Caenorhabditis elegans: one gene and its partner. The protein of the gene in region 1 purifies or fractionates together with the protein of each later gene. This does not show direct contact. Each region holds a gene or a part of one and is shown on either strand. Other genes may lie near its edges.

Region 1 (5,573 bases):
TCAAAAGATGCTAACTGGCAAAAATAATTGTAAGAAAATATGGAAAACGAAAAGAAGTGCAGTGTCCCTTTGGGGGCAACAACAAAACAGATGGAAATGAATGGAGGTGTTTCAGATGGTGCCAGATGCGGGTTTAAACGCGTTTAAAATATGAAATCATGAAGTCTTTTTCAAAATTTAATTTTCTAGCAATATAGTGGCGTTATTTAAAGTAAAGCAAACTCATGCAAGTTAATATGAGGCAGTGCATGATAACTATTCCGTAAAATTGAGTCAGACAGCGTGCTAATTAGTAGTATGCATTATAATCCAAATTCAGAGCCGATGCACACAATCCAACAAAACTGAACTCATTTCACGAATTTTTATAACAAAGTATAACGATTTAGTCCCCACAAAACACTATAAATTGTTCAAATTGGGTAGAGAGTAAGACGTAACAGTGTATGTTTTGCCAAAAAACTAAACCTTGATTTGTAGTTTTCACACTGTAGTGATGAAGAATGAATCTTGGAAATATTATAAGAGAAAAATTATTGACGTGCACAGAATAAAAATCTGACGGTATATGAAACCAAAGCGATGAATCAATTTCAAATTCCCATGCCTCATTCCATTTACATATTGCATCCTTCTTCAATACACTGTTTCTCGCAACAAGACAAATTTCATATTGCAATGAAACAATAAACACTGTTCTGCTACAATCATACTTGTGATCCGATTTTTCTGATGAAAAGGTAGCAAAATGCTGCAGAAAATAGCAAAACACCAATATTTGGGCATGTCAAACTGAAAAATTACCAAACAGAGACATCTAGAAGTGTAGTAATTTTCACTGTCAAGTTTCGTTTTTAAAAATTGCCAGCTCGTAAATATGAGATTTAATATTGTCATTCAGGATGATTCTTCCACTTATTCCAACTAAATGTGTATTCCGAAGCTTCTATTCAATTTTTTCATATCACCAAGCGTCGCTTTTCAGGTTTCCACGTTTTACCAATTTCCAATTCTTTTCGAAATATTCATCAGTCAAACCTTAACTATTTCCAGCAACCTGGTTCAAAATAGCTTTTTCCTGTCCAAATCAGCTTTATCTACCCCCACTTCCGGCTGCACGTGTGGCCGAGGCGGTAGGACGGCCGCCTCTGGATCAAAGCTTTTTGATCCGACAAGTTCGATTCTCCATGAACGGCAAAGCATGCGGGCGAGATAGCAGAACTGGAGAATAGTCACAAAATGATAGAAAATTACTTGCAGTAAGAAAAAGACACGGGAGTGCTCACCGAGATGTCTTAATGAATTTGGAGAATGAAAAAGAGTTCGGTTGAAAAGAACTGTCTCTTAAATGGCACACTGCCGTGTTTCGGTGGTTTTAATAATACTCCCTCCCCGCATAAACCTAGATATGAGGGAGGAAGAGTCCATGAATGGCAAATCATGGCGAGCAGATAGTATGGACTTGTGAACATTCCAAACTATCTGAGCAAGATATCCAAGAATTGAAAGATGGTTGAAGCATATGGGTGTGAGAGCAGAACTGGAAGTTGTAGTATATCAAATAATCGAAAGATGGTGGAAGCATAAGGTGTAGTAGAGAAGAACTGGAAGTTGTGAAGATTTATTGGGATCAAAAGGATTGGAATTGAGCATGTCTTGGGAAACATGAGTTGGGAGACAAAAGGATTGGAATTGAGCTGGAATTGAACGGGCTAAGACAGAAAGGATTGGAATTGAGCTGGAATTGAACGGGCTAAGACAGAAAGGATTGGAATTGTACTGGTCAAAGAACTGAAATTGGGAAAGAAAGGATTGGAACTGACCTGGAATGAAACGGGTTGAGTCAAAAAGGATTGAAATTGAGCCTGTCGGAAAACATGAGTTGGAAAGAAAAGGATTGTAATTGATCTGGAATGAGTTGGAAAATCAAAGGATTGGAATTGATCTGGCATGAATTGGGAAAAAAATGATTGGAAATGAATTGAATTATGAGTATGAGCTGAAAAAGTGAAAGATTGAATTGGTATAGCTTAAAGCTAGATGGATAAATGATACTGGGTGGCAGTTCTGGAACATGAGACTTTTCTGATGTTCTACCTGCACTCACCCAATACCAAATTTAGTCCGTAAAAATAACTTATTTCAATTGGAAATATGAGTTTCCCGCGGATTTACATTTGTTGCTCTATCTGTCGCGAATAGCATGGAGCAGGATCTCCATTATTCACGACTCAATAATTATTCTATAATTATTGCATAATTATGTACTCTACAATGGACGCTAACAACACCGAGCATTTCTATCACCATCGCTCAAGGAACAACCAACAGTCAGTGCTAACAAAGAACAACCACGTGAACCATTTGCGACGTGAACCCCGGATGGATGCATACAAGGAACAAGATAATCTAACAACAACAACATTCACGCCATGACCTTGCCACGCCAATACGAACAACTCAACCTTGGACACGTGGACCACTTTGCCAACCTTGGAGGGACTTCCCGAATCAGTTCTTACTTTATGTTCTTGCGTTACTTGTCTATTAGTGTTACTAGTTGTCTATAATAAATCCTTGTAGAGTCACCAAGTGTACTGTTAGTTTAACTTATATAAAATACCACTGAACGCACTGCAAAACACTAGCATTTCATCTTTTACTTAATCTTCAAGCTCTTCTCACAACAATTCATTGTGATATATCAAAAATTTTCAGAAATACCAAATCTCTGCTCACTTGAAATCACGATGCCAGTCATTCACTTGTCAAGCGCTCGAAAGGGAAATGCTGAGTTCAAGTTTCCAAACACGCTCCATTTCCGTCAAACAGTCAAAGAAATGTTCGAGGAGTAAGTTTTCTGGACAAACGCTGAGTTACTGGGATTTTGTTTCAGAATCTACAAGCCGATTCTTGATGCCGTGAAGGTTCCCCTGCCTTCTGACGCAGTCGTTGGTAACCCGGACAAGTTTTCCCAGTATATTGATGCACTCAATCTGAAACTTGCGCATCCTGATGTGGTATGACATATGTTTGCATATGAATACTAAATAAATAATTTCAGCTTTCACGAGTCCCTGCAAAGCATCACGAGATCACGTCAACTAGATTATGTTCTTTGACAGTTGCGATCAAACTCGCTGAACTTGCGTATCGTTTCTCGGTGCCAGACGCCAACGTGCTCCGCCACTACGCTGTTGGAACGTCTACAGTAAGTTTCTCAGAGAAATTAAAATTTCTCAAAGAATTATTTTAAGGTGTACGGAGAGCTCCATTGTTCACAAATGGCCAGCTTTGTGGATCAACTCAACATGGGTCCTTCCGACTATTTCATGGATTTGGGAAGTGGAATCGGTCATTTGGTGAATTTTGTTGCTGCCTACGCAAGAACTCAGATGAGCGTCGGAGTTGAGCTCATGGATAATTTGGCAGAAATTGCCGAAAAGAACAAAGAGTTCAATGAGCGGTAAGTTGGGAATTGTTCATAATAATTTCCGATGTGATCAATTCGTTCGTTTTCAGACTCCTCAACCACTTCGGGAAGAAGGTTTACGCAACCCGGTTCATCCATGGCTCATTCACGAGTCCGGCCGTCATCCGAGAGATTCAAACCAAGGCCACCGTCATCCTCGCAAACAATGTGCGCTTCGATCCAGAGCTGAAGCTTCAGCTCAAAGAGATCCTCATGGGCTGCAAGGATCGAACTCGAATCATATCCTCGGAGCCGCTGGTCCCAAGTCGTGCTCGTCAAACGAATTCGCGTCGTGCCGATGGTAAGTTAAATACTTCAGAACTCTCTTTTATATGGGAAATATCAGTAATTAACTCCAACTTTTTTTAGATTTCGTCAAAATCTCGGATGAGTCTCTTCTCAATCTCGTTGACAACAATGTATCGTGGACAAGTAGAAAAGTGCCATTCTACTTGACTACAATCAATCGCAACAAGGTTAGTTTTTTTTACTGTGTTCGATTTTAGGGGTTTCTGGGTATTAAAGTTAAGTAAAATCTAAACTATTCATTTCAGTGATCAACGAGGCCTTCTACATTCATCACACCATCTGCTATCACGTGTCATTTAATAATGTTTTCGGTTATTTTTCAATTAGGATCTCCCCCTTCCCTCCTCCTCAATATGACCATCTATGTTGCCTCCTTTTTGTTTTTCGTTTGTTCTGATCCGGATACCAACCGTCTTCTCTTTGTACTATCAAACTTGTTGGTTTCATAAATTCGTTTCTTGTTTTAACCACATCGTTTTATGTCTAAACACCCTAAAGCGTTCTTCACTGTTCGTTAGTTATCTGTCGTCGTTGTCTTTGAACTGCTTCTTGTTGTGAGTCTCCGGTCTTTTGTGCATCGAAATCGTATGGTGTCAACCCGATAAAAAATTCAAGCATCTTTGTAGCATGGAGGAGCTTCTGAAATGTATGATTTATTAGATTTATTTTTTATTATGATCTACAAAAGTGTTCTACAAATATGTTTCGAAAAGACAAATAATGTTTTTGGTTTTTTTTTCGAAGAAATTGACTATATATGGTAATTTTGCACTAAAAAATTGACTGGATTTTTAAACCTACTATGTGGAAAAATAAAAAAAAATTGAACCTGACTACGCTACTTCGAAAGTCTCAGTAATTTTAAAGATATCAATAAAAATTAACTACAAAACTATAGAAGAAAACAAACATTTTGTATAATATTATAACAATTTTTGCATAACACAAACGACAACTGAGATATGAACTGTCAAAGTCGAATAATGGGTGCAATATTAATAGTGGAAATGCGGTTTTTGTTCGTTGAAACTAGGGTTCCCATGTCGGCGCCTCAAACGCCGATCTCGCGCAGCGAGCCGAAACGTTTATAGCGATGCGCGTGCACAAACGCGGAGCAACAAATAGTACCTTACCATATTGCATTATTTGGTGCAAACTGAACTTGGCTTTCCGTCCGACACTTTTTGGGTTCCGGGCATCGCTATAAAGATTTCGGATCGCGGCGTGAGAGCGGCGTGAGGGCTGCGTTTGCAGGGCCGACATGAAAACCCTAGTTGAAACTAAAATGTTTCAGGACTCATTTTTGAGGCATAATAGCATGCTACAGACAAATAACCTACCTACCTTCTGCTGATCAGGTTTCAACAAATGAAATGGTGTTGGTCTGTTGCTGTTGCCTTCTTGGAGCCATTCATTGCAAATTTTTAATCCAACTTTCAAGAGCATTTGTCGATCTTTTACTTCCTGTAGGACAAAAGATTCTCGTCGTGATAAACATGACATCAGTTTACAGTACATGTTACGAATTTCCTCCATGACTTTTTGAACTGGTTGTCGATCTACATCGCGGAGTGTTGCGTATTTTATCATTTCTTCTCTCTTGCTATTTTCCTCCTCAAAAAGTTTTCTTTCCTCTTCCCAAAGTTCAGCCATTATTTTTGCAATCAACCGCTAATCAACATTTTGCCATTTTCTTGCTGCCTGTTCAACTTGATCCCACTTTTTTTGTTTTTTAAAAATAATCTTTATGATTCATTAAACCATTCTTGAGAACTATATCAATTTATTAATC
Region 2 (5,758 bases), on another chromosome or scaffold:
AGTATGCATGGGACCGTAGTAAATAATTATCAGTGAAACAACAAACCTCACAAAGCTCAATATCGCCTTCCAAATCCGATCCTCCACTTCCGGTCGTTAGTTTGAATGTGTGATCCGCCAAAGAGTCGACTTTGCCTGTAACATCTCGTCCAGCGCTGATCATTCTCTTGACAACAGCAATGAAAACAGCTTCTTTTCTGTCTTTCTCCCGTTCTTGGTTGACGCACATCTTTGTTGCCATACTCCTTTCTTCTAGCTCATAAACTCGTGAATCATGATCTATTTGATTTTTTTCATTACCCAACTTGATTTCATTGGTTCTCTGCGTTTCGTTCAAAACAATGGCGTTGTTCTCTTCCGCTGTCTTCAAGACTTTCAGTCCAAATTGTTTCTTCTCGTTATGACACTCCTCTTGAAATCGGGTGTTCTGAATTTAAAAATAGTCTTATATTATGAAATTTTTCGCATTTCCATATGTAGTACCACGTGGACATATGCGTTTTGGGAAGAAGCTATGTAGGTTCAACTCACCTCCTCTTTCCGCGCTTTGACGTTTGAAAATATGCTCTCCTCGATGCGATTTTTATTCTGCTCGGTCTGTTTCCGCATTTCTTGATCAATCTTCTCCCTTGTCATCATTTCCTTATTATCCGCATCTTTTTGGTTTCTCAATGCCTCATCTGATCTTTGCATTGCTTCGTAATATTCTTTTTGATGTGATTTGACGAGTTCATCCTCTCTCTTATTGTTCTCAATTTTTGTCTCATGTAACTGTTTCACGGCTTCCTGAACTTGAACAATTGATGATTTACCCAGACAATTGTTTTATTATTAATTCTTACTGATTTTGCACATATCTTACTTATAAAATCACCTGTCTTTCTCTATCTGCGCGTTCTTCCTCGGCTCTTCTCTGCGATAGTTCGGAGCTTCTCAAGTCACTCATACGCTCACGATAGTACGCTTCTTTTCGTTCCTGAGCCTCATATCGTCTTTTTCGCTCTTCATACTCCCGTTGTGCTTGTGCTTGTGCTTCCTGTTGAGCTTATGCTTCCCGTTTAGCTTTTGCTTCTCGTTGAGCTTGGATCTCCCGGTTTTTTTGTATTCTCCTATCCTGAAATAACTTGTTTGTTTTGAAAATAAAGAGGTAATCCCATACCTTATGCCCAGTGACAACATTGACCATATCCTCTAAGAAGCCCAGCATTCCGAAGCAATCTGAAACTGTAAAATAAAAACCGACATCGTGAAGCCTACAATTTTTTTCAATTTAACAAAACATGTTTGCACTACGATACTGTACGATTCCGGTAGGGCCGGTAGAACTTATAGTTTGCTAGTGGACTTCAGATAATGCATGAAAAGTGAACTTGTGTATTTTCAAATTAATAGTAAGTATCTATAATGCACACCTGAACTCAAATATATATGAAACGTTTAGGTGTTAGCAATATACGCGTATGAGAAAAGTTGATGCCTCTTCCTTATGACATGTGGCAACAATTTATACAGTTTCACTTATTATAAGGAATTCACGATTCTTCCTTCTTGAAAATGTCATCAAAATGTTTTCTTGCTAACCATAACTACAAGTATATACAACTGTTATCAATATTCGTTTATTTATGAAGTTTGATGTTTTCAGACAACTTTGAATCTGATAAAGCATTAAAAAAATCAACTACAGCAGCTTTAAACAAATGTTGGTGTTAGCAATGCGATGAAAAAGGATTTCTATTCCTTATGGCATGTGGCAACGACTTATACAGTTTCATTAATTATAAGGAATCCTCGATTATATTTTTTGGAATCTGTCATTGCAATATTTGTTCTTGCTAATTGCAACTTCAAATATAAACAACTCTTATCAATGTTCCATTTCATTTCAGTATTCCTTCGGTTTTCCACATTTACAAACTATCTAACATAATTTTATTATTAATTTTTTTGTGGTACAGAATTTTCAAAATTTAGGACGACCACTCTATAGGTGCAGAAAAAGAAAATGAGTGAAGCGGCCTATTATCGCGAACTGGAAGCTTCTGAACGACGGTTGAGCGAACTTCGGGCTGCTAATCGAGAAAGTGTTAAGTACGTTTCGCGTTGAGGTCCAAAATAACAGTTCTGCGAGTTTCAGAAGAGTGCAAGACAAAATAACCGACGAGAAAACGCAACATCAGGCACGTATCGCGGAAAAAGAGAGAAAGCATCGTGAAAACATGTTACGACAATGGAATTCTAGCGTTGCGGAGAGGAATGCCGCTGAGGAAATACATAGGAAATCGGTATGATTGGAGGTTGGATCTGAAGTTGTATAAAATTCATTTAAGCTTTTTTTGATGAGGTTGGTGTACAGCCTAGCTTTCTTTAAGACAATAGGCCCCTTCGTCACAAGTCTATAGGTTGACCTCTCGCCACCTTTACTTCGAAGAAAGATTTTTAGCAACTTCTTTAAGAAAAACGTACGATTTGAAGCTTGAATGTTGAATTTTTAGGTTGAAAAATTCAACGAAGAACACAAAACCTATATGGCAAAGTTAGAAAAGCAACTAGAGAAAATAAACGAGAAGGGAGAACAAGATGTTAAAGAAGTTGAACAGCAACGTGTAAAACTTGAAGAACAACGAACAGAAGACCTTGTCAAGCATCACGAATCGATGGCGAACCTCAGTGAGAAAAAATACAAAGAAATTGAAAAACAAAGAGTAGAGCAACATATGTTGAAAATGGAAGAGTTGAATGCAAAAAGGTAAGGAGTGTTACCTCATGAGGTGTGAAATTTATCCAGGAATGCTAACCATAAAGAATTTTGTTATTTTCACAACTTTTTTGATTGTTTCAAAAAATTTTTCGATGAATCGACAAACGACAATATCGGCAATCGCCGAAATTTGTATAATTTTTGTTTATTTCTCTCTTTTAACAGAAAATTGAACCAAAACTTATATTTTTCGGGATTTACGGAAAAGTAAGAAAGTTTTGGAACAAAGTTCCACAAAAATTTCAATTTTTACACTGCTAAACTATCGATTCAAGTGAGCTTCGTAACCTCACATTTAAAAAATTTTTAAAGTGTTAACATTTTTTTTCAGTAAACAAAATACGAGTCTTTACCAAATTCAAATGAAAAACATTAATGATTCACACAACATGCAATTAAGCATAGAAAAGAGTAATGCTAGTTTGGCTGTCATTCAACATTCAGAGAGTTGCATTGAAAGCTTTAATGTGATCTTGGGTCTATTGAAAGATATGAAAGAGTTGGTAAGCTTAACTGTGGAGTAGCGCCAGTGGGGATTTTGTTTAAGTAAATTTATAATAATTCAAAACAACCGAATATCATATTAAAACACTCCAAAATGTTTTAGCTTTTTTCATAATTTCCTGCCAAAGTTTTGGCAAGTTGCCAAAATTTTGAAAAATATGAACTTTTGAAGAAATCAAAAGAAAAATTATGAGTGGCAAAAACTGAGTGATTGTCACTTTTTGACACCAAAAAATTTTCAAAAATTGTTTGAATTTTTTTCGTGATATTCGGTCATCTTGGCACCATATGAGTAGTTTTCAAGCAATTTAGCCACTGGCGCTACTCTACCTTTAATAGTAATTGAGAATTAAATAATTCATACAATAATTTAGAGCGAGAACAAAGATCACTACCTTCCTGCTGACTTGAAAAAAATAAAGTATACTTCGGACGAAATTGAAAAGCACAAATCTAAATTGGAATTTCGAAATCAACAGCTCGAAAGTAGTAGGACTCTGGAAATCAATGCAGACCCACGAGTGATTGGCGGATCTTCGGTGAGTTTGCATATTCGAAATATAAAATTTCAAAAAAAAACCGTGATGCTGGTTTAGTTGCGGAAATCTGCGCTGGAGAAGTGAGAGTGAGGTGGTATTTCAAATATGGTGCACGGTCTGTGTGTAACTGATTAAAATCCATCTCCATTTCAGAAATTGGGTAAGACAATAGGAATTATAATTATTGCCCCCAATGTTGGACAAGAAATATATCCAACAGCCACAAAAATCTAAACATTTAACATTAAGGAAATGTCAATCAAAGTGAAGCGATGCATAGAGTCAAGTGGCTTTCGTTCAGTGTGTACTTTGCCCAGTCTTGCTGCACAACAGGATCTTGCTCGTATTAGTACAATTATGGACAAAATCGACAGTTTGACCAATAAGATGGATGCTATTAGTGAAGAAGTTCAGCGCAATACAATTCAATGGCAACAAGATGGAAATTCGTCTATGAAGGCTTTGACGCATACCAACGGGAGTTGATTGTATATAAATAATTGCTTTATTGTTATTTCATAAAAAGGAAATTCTATGAGCTCACTTTTATGTGCCTCTATCTATTATAAATAAAATTCATGATATTCTCCGGTATACTTCCTAGTTTTCTAGTTCATGGCGATGCGACTTGGGCTGCTTTGGCAGCAGCCTCCGCAGCACTATAGAAATACAGTATCAATAATATCCCGTGACAATTTTCATAAAACTGAATATAAATTGGCTTGATGTTCCTAAAGGGCTGCGAAGGGCTGCGAGTATGAGCGTTTTCCTGAGGGGATGGTATCAGCTCCCTCGTAGTCATCGCAGCTCTGAGCAGCCCAACTTCATCCTATTTATCAGTCCTTCAGCACCATCAACCCAATTTTTATTCAGTTTTATGATACTGTGTTGCTAAAGGGCTGCGGGGGGTTGCTGCCCAAACAGCCCTAGATGCGGCATCCATTCTGCAACCTGAGAAAACACTTAATTTTAGGGCACTAATCAAGTTAGAAAAAACAATGGAAAAAGTGATGGGGTGAAGTTATGTCATCTGCTTGCCATTTGCCAATCGGTCTGGCAAACGGCAAACCAATCGAAAAACAACGAGGGTTCAACAATTGACAGTTTTTTCAACACTAAAGTTAAAATCTTTGAAAAAAAAACTAGAAATTTTTCAAACTGCAAAAATTAAACATTTATTTCCTTACAACACAAAAAAAAGTTTTAAACGTTGAATGATGACTGCAATGAGTATCACGAAAAGATCAATGAACTTCAATTCAAGAGACTTTTCGAATTTTGTGCACTTTCGCAATCCTTCTTCCATTCATATAAAATCAGTTCCATATTTCTGATTTCAATGTCAGCATGTTTCTTTAGTTTAATGTTACGCAGCTTGCTGACTGCATAATTTAACATATTCATCCTATCCTTGAAAGCTTTGAAAGCCGTGATTGATTTGTCCAGCTCAGAGAATGTGCTCAAAAATGTGTTCAAACTATTTCGAACATCAACGATCTTGTTGAGAATCTGTTTTACCACATTTGTATTCGCACCGCCTTTCATACCATCATATCCTTTGAAATTCGACACTTTTTCTGATGCTTCTTCCAAATTATCCATTTTATTCTTTACAAGAGTCACGAGAATCTGAAGAAAACTGTGCAGAAATTGGAACTATTTAACTGTTACCTCGCGATTCCTTGTACTTATCGTTTGTTTATCATCATTGCTCAGGGATTTGTGAACCACCGTCACCGCTTTCGAGATTAAAGCCCAGATATGCTTCACGTGCTGGACAGTACTATTATATTTTTCTTCAAGAATATCATTTCTGACTGCTTTCGCCAGATCTCCTTGTTTCAGTTTCATCTTCAAGTCGATTTCTTCACATTTGGTCTGATGTATGAATTTCTGTTCTCGCATGCTCTTTTCCGCTTCCGACATTGATCGATTCAAATTTGATATAGTTTCT

What was found. Proteins that work in one complex are often made in the same cells at the same time.
Region 2: the proteins of dot-1.3 (region 1) and pals-8 fractionate together in Caenorhabditis elegans (co-fractionation; one large-scale study listed by BioGRID). This does not show direct contact.

What each region holds. Positions count from the first base shown.
Region 1 is NC_003284.9:12,299,995-12,305,567, reverse strand, and holds dot-1.3 (Histone-lysine N-methyltransferase, H3 lysine-79 specific), read left to right. Parts: upstream 1-2,712; 5' UTR 2,713-2,750; coding exon 2,751-2,851; intron 2,852-2,896; coding exon 2,897-3,020; intron 3,021-3,064; coding exon 3,065-3,211; intron 3,212-3,257; coding exon 3,258-3,466; intron 3,467-3,522; coding exon 3,523-3,773; intron 3,774-3,841; coding exon 3,842-3,948; intron 3,949-4,026; coding exon 4,027-4,029; 3' UTR 4,030-4,245; downstream 4,246-5,573. Other genes in the region: W06D11.5 (NR LBD domain-containing protein), read right to left, coding at 4,286-4,420, 5,126-5,434.
Region 2 is NC_003279.8:13,119,118-13,124,875, forward strand, and holds pals-8 (Protein containing ALS2cr12 (ALS2CR12) signature), read left to right. Parts: upstream 1-1,974; 5' UTR 1,975-2,005; coding exon 2,006-2,091; intron 2,092-2,137; coding exon 2,138-2,285; intron 2,286-2,495; coding exon 2,496-2,749; intron 2,750-3,092; coding exon 3,093-3,264; intron 3,265-3,639; coding exon 3,640-3,804; intron 3,805-4,053; coding exon 4,054-4,290; 3' UTR 4,291-4,396; downstream 4,397-5,758. Other genes in the region: pals-11 (Protein containing ALS2cr12 (ALS2CR12) signature), read right to left, coding at 5,059-5,433, 5,476-5,758.